3 linked regions of the Ovis aries genome follow. The protein of the gene in region 2 interacts with the protein of the main gene of each other region in a pairwise test. Links are inferred from orthologs where the notes say so. Each region holds a gene or a part of one and is shown on either strand. Other genes may lie near its edges.

Region 1 (3,646 bases), on a different chromosome or scaffold from region 2:
CATTATATAGCCATAAAAAGGAATGACGTTCTGACACACACTACAACATGGATGGAACATGAAAACATCATGCTGAGTGATAGTCGAGGACTTTAAAAGCAGTTTGCATAAATATATGCCAGGATTTAAAGAAAAATATGAAAAAACAGAAATGGAAGATATCAAAAAGAACAAAATAGCATCTACAGAGATGAAAAATACATTGTCTGAAGGAAAAATTCACTGGATAGGATGGGATTAAGAGCAGATAAGATACTACAGGAGGAAAGGCTAAGTGAACATAAACACAGAGCAGTAGAAAGCCTTCAAGCTCAAGAACAGAGTGGAAGACAAAAGAACAAGTAACAGCAGAGCCTAACGACTGCAGAACAATGGGAAGCAGACATACACGAACCCAGATCAATGAGGGGGTGCAGAAGGATGCAGAACGCGTTGGCAAAAAAATTTCAAATTTGATGAAAACCTGAGTCCACAGATCCAAGAAGTTCAACAAACCCAAAGTAAGATAAACACAAAGAAAGTCACACCAAAGAGCACATCATGGTCAAACTGTTTAAAAACAGGGATGAAGGAAATCTCTTAAAAACCACCAGAGGAAAAAGGGCACATTACATTCCTGCGGAAGGACAAATAAAAGAAACTGCCAACTTCTCATAAGAACCAATGAAACCTAGAAGACTTCCCACTAAGATACCACGCCGAGAGGTCCGGCCATGGAGTTGAGCTGGGGTGAACATTGGGTCAGCTTTATTCCAGAGAGCACTAGGGTGAACTAATGTAAAATTTCTGCAGTGGTATATATTACTTTTGTTTCCAAAGTGAAGCTATTTCTTCTGTTACCGCTAGTCCCCAGCTTTTCAAGCCACCTCTGGCTCCGCTATGCACCTGCCTGCCTCCTTCCAGCCACTGCTCTGGCCCCACTGCTGCTAAGTAGCTTCAGTCGTGTCCGACTCTGTGTGACCCCATAGATGGCAGCCCACCAGGCTCCCCCGTCCCTGGGATTCTCCAGGCAAGAACACTGGAGTGGGTTGCCATTTCCTTCTCCAATGCATCAAACTGAAAAGTGAAAGTGAAGTCACTCAGTCGTGTCTGACTCCTAGCGACCCCAAGGACTGCAGCCTTCCAGGCTCTTCCGTCCATGGGATTTGCCAGGCAAGAGTACCGGAGTGGGTTGCTATTGCCTTACTACTCCTCCTGCAAACATCCAACCTCCCTCTTTGTGCCCACTGGGCTGTTCGCCACCTTCTCTGAGGCAAAGCCTTAGGCTGCACCTGCTCAGGCAGACAGTAGAGTGGTCAGGGCTGTGCCAACTGGCCAGCACTGCTCACATTCCCCCTCTGCCACCTGTGGGGAAGGGACTACCCCTCTTAGGGCCTCAGCTTCCTTGTCCTGAACAACAGGATCCACCTCAAAGTTGCAGTGCAGCCCATTCCCAAGGTGAATCTTCTGTCCCTGTGGCTGTGGCTGCATTTACCCTAGCAGCCTGCCTGGCGGTGGTGCCTTGGTCTCTGTGGGGTGATCACTCCGGCCCTGCCGATGCGCCATCATCGAAACTAGTGCCAAGCAAAGAGGAAGCTGTGGCCACAGCCAAGAGGCTGCCTGTCTGTGCAGTGCAATCAGTGGTGGGCTCAGCGCTTCCCAGGAAGCGCCATGTCTTCCTCCCTGAGCAGCCTCTGTCTCGGCTTCAGTGCACGACAGACGCCCCTGCTGCTCCTACTTAGTGTCTGCCAAGGGCCCACCTCTACAGAACTCAGCACCAACCGCCGCCTGCCAGCCGACATCCGCCGCCTTACCCGGCCACACCCTTAACCTGGTCACAGTATTAAGGCCCTGAAGGGGGGACGCAGGTGTTTTGCTATTATCTAGAGGATTCCAGACTTCACTCCTCTGGGTCAACAGAAACTTGCACAGCATCCTCCACCACCCCAGGTCCCTGCTTGGTAAGGAGGCCACATCTCTGTGTTAAGACCACCAGGCCAGCTCACCTTCACTGGTGCCCGAGGTGCTGCTCTGCCACGCCCCCTCATGTTGCCTCCAGGGCCCCCTGTACAGAACAGAGGTGCACATCCCCCCGACTCTGCATGCGGCACTTGTTTCTGACCCCTCAGCCATTTCTAAGGTTCCTGTTCACTTAACAAGGCAACTAGGTACTGACAGGCCTCCCTGACCAGCGGAGCTGGTGCTTGGAGACAAATGTCTTCTTTTAATTGTCAGCCTGGCGGTAAAATACAAAAAAGAAAAATTTGGGTAGGGAGGCTTATTAATAAAAACAACAAAAAAGAAGCATTTGTTTTCTACCTAGAGAAGGTACCCATGCAAAAACCACCAGCGATGAGTCCCCAGGACCATAGGTGACCCTGGAGACTAGGGTTGGCCCCCCCTTTCCTCCTGGGAACACCAGTGCTCCCAAGCCTGACCACTGGCTGAGTGTGAATCTTCCCAGAGGTTTGTTAACAGACACACCTTCGGGAGCTTGACCCCTAGGGCATCAAGCCTAGTATGCCTGCTGGGATGCTCTCATGTGATCTTAATTAATCATCCATCTTAACTAATCACATCCATAAAGACCCTATTTCCAAGGAAGGTTGCACCCTGAGGCACCAGGACTAGAATACGCCTTTCGGGGCCACCATTCACCTTGGGGTCGTCCCATAGCCAGTGTCAGGCTCTGGCTGGCACACAGCAGCACGGGAGTCTGTGCTTTTTGAGAGGAACGGCCATCGTTACATATCGAATGGTTCAGTCACCACATGTGTAGAAGCGTGTTTTGGGATAAAGCTCTGACCTTTTGGTTCTCTGTGTTACCGTCTGCCATGGTACAATATCTGAATTTGAGGTTTTTTGATATTTCAGATACTAAAGACACAAAGAAGATTGAGTGCAGATTCCCATTAGCTGGTTGAGCTTTGGTCTCACCTGGTGTGAACAGTCATCTTAAAAGAAACATGGCTGCAAAGATCTACCTCCAGTGCTGATTCTGGTTGGCGTGCTTCCCCTCTGGTGGGGGTAGCGGGTATCTCCAAGGAGCCTGGGAGGAAGAGCTGCAAGGGAGACTCAGGAGGAGGGCGGCCCCTCACCTGCGCCTCCTCCTCAGGGAGTAGCCCATGTGTCCGCAGAGCCTGCAGGGCCTGGTCTCTCTCTCGGGTCACGGCCTTCAGCACCACCTCTCGGTCACACAGCCGCCGCTCCGTCTCCTGGAGCTTGGCAACAACCTGGGGAAAATGCAGACTCAGTTCATCTTGGGAGGATCAGAAGGGAGCGGTGCCACTTTCAAGGTCCAGACCAGCTCCCTACCCTGCTGGGAAGCAGAGGGCAGACACGAGGGTGAGAAACCCTAGGAAATATGTGGCCGTCAGAGCCAGAGGAGCCCAGCAAATGCTGGGGCCACCTATGCATCCAGCTCCAGAGGCAGCTGCCTGGCCATTAGAGACAGGCTGTGGGCAGGGACTCATCATTGCAAGTCCTGCTGATATAAACCAAACTGCTCAGTGAGGCCAAGTGCCTTCAAGTGCAAAGGATAACTTGGTGAGGGCCCAAGCCAGCTCCATGCTGCAGTGGACATACCCGGCCCTTCCTTCTGCAGAAAGAAGTCAGACAGCCCAGGGGAGTGCAGACCTGATCTCTGGCCGCGGTCAGGCCCTGAATC
Region 2 (3,646 bases):
CAAGGTCCTTTAGCTCTGGGACATCAGAGCTCACGTTGGTGGAACCTGTCCCACGTGCTCAGCTCTGCTCTAAGCTCTTGACGTGTGCCCTCATTCAGTCCCTGCAGCTACTCTGTAAGGCTGGGGCTGTCACCAGGGGACAAGGACACTGAGCCCCAAGGTGGGGAGGGACGACTCAGAGGTCGCAGAGCCAGAACGGGGCAGAACTGGGGTGGGGGCCCAGGCAGGGGGCTCAACCACTGTGCACTGAGCTCAGGAACACCCTATCCCTAACCCTAACCCACCCTATCCAGGGCTTCCTAGACCCTCTCCAGTCATCACAGACCCTTGAAATGGTGTGATTCCCACCATTTCACAGATGCATAAACTGAGGAGCAGGGGGAACTGAGATGTGCCCAAGACCACAGAGCCTGAGAGGCCAGCACCATCCCTCCCCAAGGGGCTGTCCTGTCAGCAGGCCACCGTACTCCTGGAACACCCTGCAAAGGCTGTGAGATGATCTTCTTTCTATAGGTGAGGAAACGGGAGCCCAGCACAGGGAACTGGGTCTCAGCCTGGAAATAACACGTTTAGTTAGGAGTCCCTATTCTGTGCTGGTGATTTGGACAGAGCTCCTCAAATCCTTCCAGCTCTCCTGAAAGACATGATGACCACCATCGTGCAGATGAGGAAACTGAGGTGGAGAGAAATGAAGGGTCTGTCTCCTCTCACCCCTGACTGTGTCCTGGAATATCCTGTCAAGTCTAAACTTTCAGGTCCATCAGCAAAGCAAGTGCCCACCTTCAGGAGCCCCCACACTGACCACCACCCTGCCTTTTCCCTCAGATTCTTGAATTCAAGTGACTACAGGGAGGAGGAGCCTCTCAGGGCCCAGCCCTGGGGACCCTGGAACAACAAGGGAAGACATGGGTTCCTGACACCTGAGTCTAGAACAGGAACTCTTGCTCACATGGGCCCTCATTACCCTCTAGGGAACACCTCCCCCTCCTCATCCTCAGTCCACCGAACCAGGAATGGGCGTGTCCGGTGCTGCTGGGGTCTCAGTGGCCCCTCTGGACTCTGTCCACACCACCCTTCCCAGACCTGCTCCACAGGGGCCTGGTGAAGGGTCAACATCACATCAATGGGCAAAAATGACTCCTGATGCTTTTAAGCGTGTTTTTTACGAAAATCACGATATATTGTAGTATCTGTCTGAATTGGTTATAAAGGTAGTCCTGCCTCTCACACAGGACTCTTTTTTTTTTTTATACTTCATACTGAAGAATAGAACAATACAGGATTTTAAGAGGACAAAGCTGGAATTTTCTCCCCACTTTGACAAGCATGGTGAGGTATGCAGAGAACAGGGCTGTGAGTCAGACTGCTTTGGGTTCAATGTTGGCTCTCCTACTTGCTCACCAGCCATGTCCCCTCCTTGAGCCTCGGTGTCCTCATCTATAAAAGGACAACAGACGAACCCCTCCCTCAGACACTGGTTATAAGGAGTAAAAGCCATGAGGAAGATTCCGCATCTGACAGGCTGCTCCCCACCCCTCCCTCTGTTCTCACCCAGGGAATCATCTGGGCAGGCGGCCTGGGGAAGAGGCAGAGCAGCCTCCTGGGAGGCGGCAGATCTGAGTGGTGGTGGTGGGCCACTTACTGGCTGCGATTTGCGGGCAAGGAGCCCATCATCTGGGAAATAAAGTAGTATCTGCAAAATCAGGAAAAAGCCACCTTCCTTTTCTATGTCCAGGGGTTGTAGGGAGATTCAATCTCCCTACATCTAAGAGAGAAATCTGGGGCAATTTCTACCCAAATTTAAATCCACATACTGCCTGAACTAGCAATGCCACTTACAGTGGGCATCTCCCACCAGAGTAGAGTGATGTATAGGTAAGGTTATCCACTGTAGTTCTGTTTCAATGGCCTAAGTTTGGGAACAACTTGTTTATTTGTTAACAAAGACTGGTAGATGCTGTCTCCATATGCCAAGTGCTTTGCAACTGTTGAAATACTGGGCAGCTCCAGGTGATGATGTGGAATGAGGGATTTACGGTTAAAACAAAAGTAGGAAGAGGTTCCCAATCACCTTGGGAATCAGGGCCTACATGTAAGGGGCATTATGAACCTTTGGGAAACCTATGAAAAGGGTCCCTGTTCAATGGTTCAAATTAAGGGGCTTTTATTTTGCTCCCTCCTTGTACCAGGCTCTTCTATGAAACCAGTTTCAATGTTGCTGCAGGAAGGGGACTGGCCTGGAATCAGACTGGGTTCTGGAAGGATCCCCTCACTGACCATGTGACTGTGGTCTGGGTCCCTGTCACCTCTTGGCCTCAGGCCCCTATGTGTACATGGAGGGTTGGAGGATGGTGTCTAAAGGTCCTTCCTGTGCTGACAGTCCAGGATTCAGGAGTTAGAAAGAGGATCCTGGACCTCTGGCAGAAAACCCTAAATGAGCACCTTTGCTACCTCAATGGGGCTGCCCCTAAGTCAGCCACATGGGGACATTTTTCTGAGATGACCCAGCTCTGCTCGGAGCTTTCAGTGAAGGGTTTTCTCAACAGATCCCCAGGAAACACCCAGCCTCTGGGCATCTCCTTCAAGCAGGGCCATCAGAGTAAACACTGGATGTCTGCCCTAAAAATTTCCCCTCAGTGTGTAGTTTCTGAAGAAGGTATAAACACATCTCCCCTCCCTGCCCTGGAAGGCTTTCTCCTCTTTGGGAGGAAGCGGACGTAAGCTTCACATAAGAGGAGCCCTTGCCTGCTTTGCTCACTGCTGCCTCCACAGCATCCAGGGCAGGGCCTGGCACACAGGAGGTGCTCAGTAGGTGCTGAGCAAATGGAACACTCAGCCACATTGAAGGGAGTACTCTCTGGAGGCAGGTGGTAGGATCTGACCTGCGACAGGGAAAGTCACTCAGACTTTCAGTTCCCTCATCCCTGGAACCAAAGAGTTGGATGGGATGAGCTGGATGAGGAGTAATTAGCATGACCCCCACAGACCTCAACTTCCCTGACCTGTAGAAGGGCGTGAAATCAGAGCATGTCCAGACCATGAGAAAGCACACAGTGCTGCATCTGACTGCCTTTTTTTTTTTTTTTTTTTTTCGCTCACAGAGTGAAGGGCATTCCTGTTGACATGTTATCACAGACCAGCAGACAAAGGAGACCCAAGCCATACTCACCGCTCACAGTGAGATGAGTGCCTGGTCCAGACTTAAACTCCACGTCGCCCTGTTCTCCTTTCCGGAACTTCACACAATAGTAGACACCAGTGTCTGCTGGGGTGATGTTACTGATGCGGATGGAAAAGTCCATGTTGTATCTCTTTGTGGCATCTGCAACACTTGTTACTCGGGGGGAGACACCTCCTTTTTGACTGTAGATTAACTCCCGACCTGGCCCAGTTCCCCTGAACCACTTGATGGGCCCCACGGGGCTCAGGGAGGTCACGGTGCATTGCAGAGTGGCCGTCTCTCCTGCTGCAACTGACACTGACCTCTCAGGCTGAATCACCTGCAGCTCCCCCTCACCTGCCGCTCCTGGAGGAAAACACAAAGCAGTTAGGTATTCATCCTCATGTGATCCTGTAGGTTTTCTCAAGTGTTTATCAATGACAGCTTACAGTGACTGTACATACCATGAGCTGGCCTTGAACTCAG
Region 3 (3,726 bases), on a different chromosome or scaffold from region 2:
CTCAGCAGCTCCTGGCAGGCAGCCTCGCCCTTGCTCTGCACCAACAGCAACAGGCGGCGCACCCTGCGTTCGGCGTCAGGCAGCGCGTCTAGAGCCTCGTACTCGGGCCCGGTGAGCACGCCCCGTGCCAGCAGCGCATCCAGCAGCAGCCCCGAGTCCGCCTGCAGCGTCTCTACCAGGCGTTTCCGCTCGCGGTCGATCGTCTCTGATGGCCTCTCCTGGGTGTTGCCCATGGTAGGGGCTGCATGGGAGGTGGGGGGCCGAGAGGTAGTGGGGGCCGGAGCTCCCCTGCTTTTGACCTCTCTCCCGGGGCCCCAGTGAACATCCGTGGCTGGGGTCTAAGTTCACCTGGATCTCTGCGGTTTGTCAGGCCCGCAGCGCAGCACCGCTCCTGCCTCCCTGACCTTTTCTGTCTTATTTCTCCCTCTGGCTTCACCTTTGGCCCCTAAATGTTAACTGTGGCACTCCTCTCCTCCCCTAGCTATCCCAGGACCCTCATCTACTCTGACTGCTCTCCCCAAGCAGGTCCTTCCTCCTGAGCCCCTGCCACCTGTAGATACCGCGAGAGATTCGGACCTAGTTTATCCAACCTAACTTCTTTCCCAACCTGCTTCCCCAACTTACAGCTGGTCCTGATAACCCACACCCAGCTTGCAATCAAGTTCCTTTCCAGTCTATCTGCCGAATACTTCTGTCAACTTCACCAGAGTCTAGTCTTTCACTTCCAGCCTAGACCCTGCAAAGCTCCATCTCTCCCCTCCCAGATCCCAAAGTGCTGAGAGTCTTCCCGCTCCTCTCACCTGCCAGAGGAAGTCCAGACACTTATCCTGACTCTGAGGTCCATCCTTCCAGGACAGGCCCCTGCCTCTGCACCCCCTCACCGATACCACCACGTGTTGGAACCCCAGTGTGGTTTCCTAGACTCTCCTGGTTCCCTAATACCTGAGTAGAGATACCTGAGTCCTCCTGAGTATTAGCTCTGACCAAGATCTTCTGACATACCTGAGACCAAACTGTCTCCCTGCTGCCCTGAGAATGATTCACAGCCATCATCTTGAAGTATCCAGGACCCAACTCATAAAAGCTACCAGCAATTGTCAAACTTTCACTGTTTTCCTCAGTGGATCCTCCCATTTTGAGAGGCTGTCACCACCCCAACAGCAGGCCTTGGGCAGAAATTAATCTGCTTTGTTCACTTATCAACAGCCAAGGACGATGGCTCATCTCCTCTTGGGTCACCTGACCCAGGCAGCAAGGTCCCTGGCATTAAGGGGCAATTAGGTCAGGCCCTGGGCCACTCCCGTTCTCAGTCCATCTCCCTTGGCTTTGGCTTTGTCCAAGGGTTTCATCCTCTCTTTGGGGTGCCTCCTTCACCTCCTTACCTGGCTCTACGTCTGGGAGAGAGGACTCAGTCTTAACCCCCATCTCTCTCACTGCCTGCTGTCATGCTATGCCTCCCTGGTCATTGCACCCCTCCTAGCCCTACTGAGGTGTCAGCCCTTCCCTCAGGCTATGAGCAGAGACCCTTCGCCCTTCCCTTTCCCTTCATGTCCCATCTGTGACAAATGCTGCTCCTCCACTGACATCTCAGTGAGAATCGGCATCTCCCTCCACCCCTCATCTCCTGTAACAGTCTCTCCCAGCACCTCTCACTCCTGTCCCATCACCCTACAGAACAGTGACTTGGACAACTCTCTAGGGTAGGATTATTGTGCCCATTTTACAGAGGAGGACACAGGCTCAGACAGACCAAGTGGCTAGCTCCAGCCTGAATTACGAGGGGTCTGGCCAAGCAGAATGCCAACCATGACTACCTGTCCCTCAACCCTCGTGGGACCACCAGAGAGAATCCAGACTATCTGTTCACTTAAAGCCCCTAGATAGGAGGCTTTCCCCCACTTTCCTCAACCATTCAGTACCGGCACTTCCCAAACTTTGTAGACACTGTTCCCTGGGCCTGGAATCCCTTTTCTCCCTCCAAGTGGTGGACCCATCTTCAAGACTCAAATGTCCCCTCGTTTACCCCAATGCCCAAGTGTCCCAGAGGCAGATTCTTTCCTTCTCCTCTGTATCCCAGTGAACATCATACACCCTCACTAGGCTGACATCACCGGACTGTGTACCATGGATCCTCTGCCGTCTTACTTGAGGTTTCCAAAATCTGTCCCCACAGTCAAGAGTGCAGGAAGGGAGGGAAGGCAGAACCCACTGTGTACAGGTGCAGAGAGGGAGGGGACATATTAGTTCGGCCCCTCCTTTTTTCTCCCTCCTCCCCAAATTATTTTCATGTTAGCTTCCTCCTCTAGTTACCTCAAGTCCTGCCTTTTGTCCTGTCTGGACAGCAGAGACCCCAGCTAGTCTGGATCCTCTGAGATTTAATGCTCAGAATATCGAAGTTATGTCCTTCAATGGTCACAGCCCAGATTCTTCCCAGAGGACCTGGCGGCTCCAGTTAGCACGCGTGGTCGGGGGTCTCTGCCGCCCTCCCCACCTCGCTCCCTGCGCGCGTTCTTTCGCTAAGGAGCGAAGGTGGTGGGCCAGCGCGGAAGACCGCGCAACTGCGAACTCAACATCCATCCCTCCACCCAGCCCCAGAGATGAGTCCTGCGGAAGGGAGGGGAGGGGAGAGGGGAGGAGAGGGGCGGGGCTCACAGACCTTCGCGCACGGCTGCTGGTGGTGATCGGGCACGGATTTCGCCCAAACTCAGTTTCTCTTCCCTCCCCCAGCCGGAGGGGGAGGGGTTCGGTGGGGCTCCCGGTCCCTGCGCTCCTGGCGGCCCCACTCACGGGTCGAGCCTCGGCAGGGCAGGAGATGACGAGGCAGAAAGGGCCAGGCGGGGTGGGGATGGGAGCAGCAGCTGCAGCGGGGGCGGGGCGGCCAGGGCTGCCGGGAACCCGGAGGGGGTGGGGAAAGGGGGCCGTTCTTCTCGGGACGCGGGGAGGCCGACCGCAGAGGTCGAGTACCGCCTGGCCGCGTTTACGAAGTCCGCTTTCCCTCATCACCCCGGGCGCGCCGGAGGAGTCGGGGTGGGGACCGTTAAGCCCGCGGACCCAAGTACCCCAGCAATTCCCAGGAGTTTTATACCCATTCTCTTTGCCTGCACAGAGAAGGCTCAGAGAAGGAGACCAGCTTACTGAAGATCACAGAGCGGGTGCACTGCGGTGCTGGGTGTGACCCCTAAAAGCCCCCGATTCCCGGAGGTCTCAGTGGCCATGCACCATCCCTGGATTCGCACCCGGAGGATGGGGCCTAAGCAGCAGAGCTCGGCCTCGGAGGCACCTCCGCTCTTCAAGGGTTCCTCGATTAACATTAAAGCCCTGAGATTTGGACGTTTCTATGAAGGCAAAGGCACCCCCCACCCATGACTTCTGTGCTCCCTGGTCGGTAGAGGAAAGAGACCAGAAACACAGGGGAAAAAATGCGGTTTTATGCAGGACTCGGGAATGGAGAGGGGCTGCCAAGTAACTGGGGCTTCACTCAGAGTCCACCAGGGGGCTCAAGGAAGCCGAGCGGGGCGTGCTACTGCCGGCCAGCCCCTCAGCAGGGCTGGCTCGGAGCGGAGGGTGTCTCAGGGGGAGGGGTTGCCTCCCGCGCCCACGTAGGAGGCCCGGCTCTCAGGACTGCTGTAAATGGGTAAAGCTCCAGGCAGGCTGAGCGCTGGGCCTCCTAAAGACGCTGGGATGTCCAGCAGGAGTGGTGCCCCGAGTGTGGAGTCCTTTCCTAGG

The links.
Region 1: the proteins of SIRPA (region 2) and CCDC57 interact in a two-hybrid assay, tested with the Homo sapiens proteins (2 studies listed by BioGRID). The two-hybrid records come from large-scale screens. The link is inferred for Ovis aries from reciprocal best matches to the Homo sapiens genes SIRPA and CCDC57.
Region 3: the proteins of SIRPA (region 2) and NOL3 interact in a two-hybrid assay, tested with the Homo sapiens proteins (2 studies listed by BioGRID and IntAct). The two-hybrid records come from large-scale screens. The link is inferred for Ovis aries from reciprocal best matches to the Homo sapiens genes SIRPA and NOL3.

The regions. Positions count from the first base shown.
Region 1 is NC_056064.1:50,203,044-50,206,689, reverse strand, and holds part of CCDC57 (coiled-coil domain-containing protein 57), read right to left. Parts: coding exon 3,616-3,646; intron 3,213-3,615; coding exon 3,078-3,212; intron 1-3,077. UniProt on the Homo sapiens protein: Pleiotropic regulator of centriole duplication, mitosis, and ciliogenesis. Critical interface between centrosome and microtubule-mediated cellular processes. Centriole duplication protein required for recruitment of CEP63, CEP152, and PLK4 to the centrosome.
Region 2 is NC_056066.1:52,930,667-52,934,312, forward strand, and holds part of SIRPA (tyrosine-protein phosphatase non-receptor type substrate 1), read right to left. Parts: intron 3,527-3,646; coding exon 3,170-3,526; intron 1-3,169. UniProt on the Homo sapiens protein: Immunoglobulin-like cell surface receptor for CD47. Acts as docking protein and induces translocation of PTPN6, PTPN11 and other binding partners from the cytosol to the plasma membrane.
Region 3 is NC_056067.1:34,376,679-34,380,404, reverse strand, and holds the start of NOL3 (nucleolar protein 3), read right to left. Parts: upstream 2,842-3,726; 5' UTR 2,657-2,841; exon of another isoform or gene 2,209-2,656; 5' UTR 2,146-2,208; exon of another isoform or gene 1,003-2,145; intron 242-1,002; 5' UTR 234-241; coding exon 1-233. Other genes in the region: HSF4 (heat shock factor protein 4), read right to left, coding at 3,570-3,721.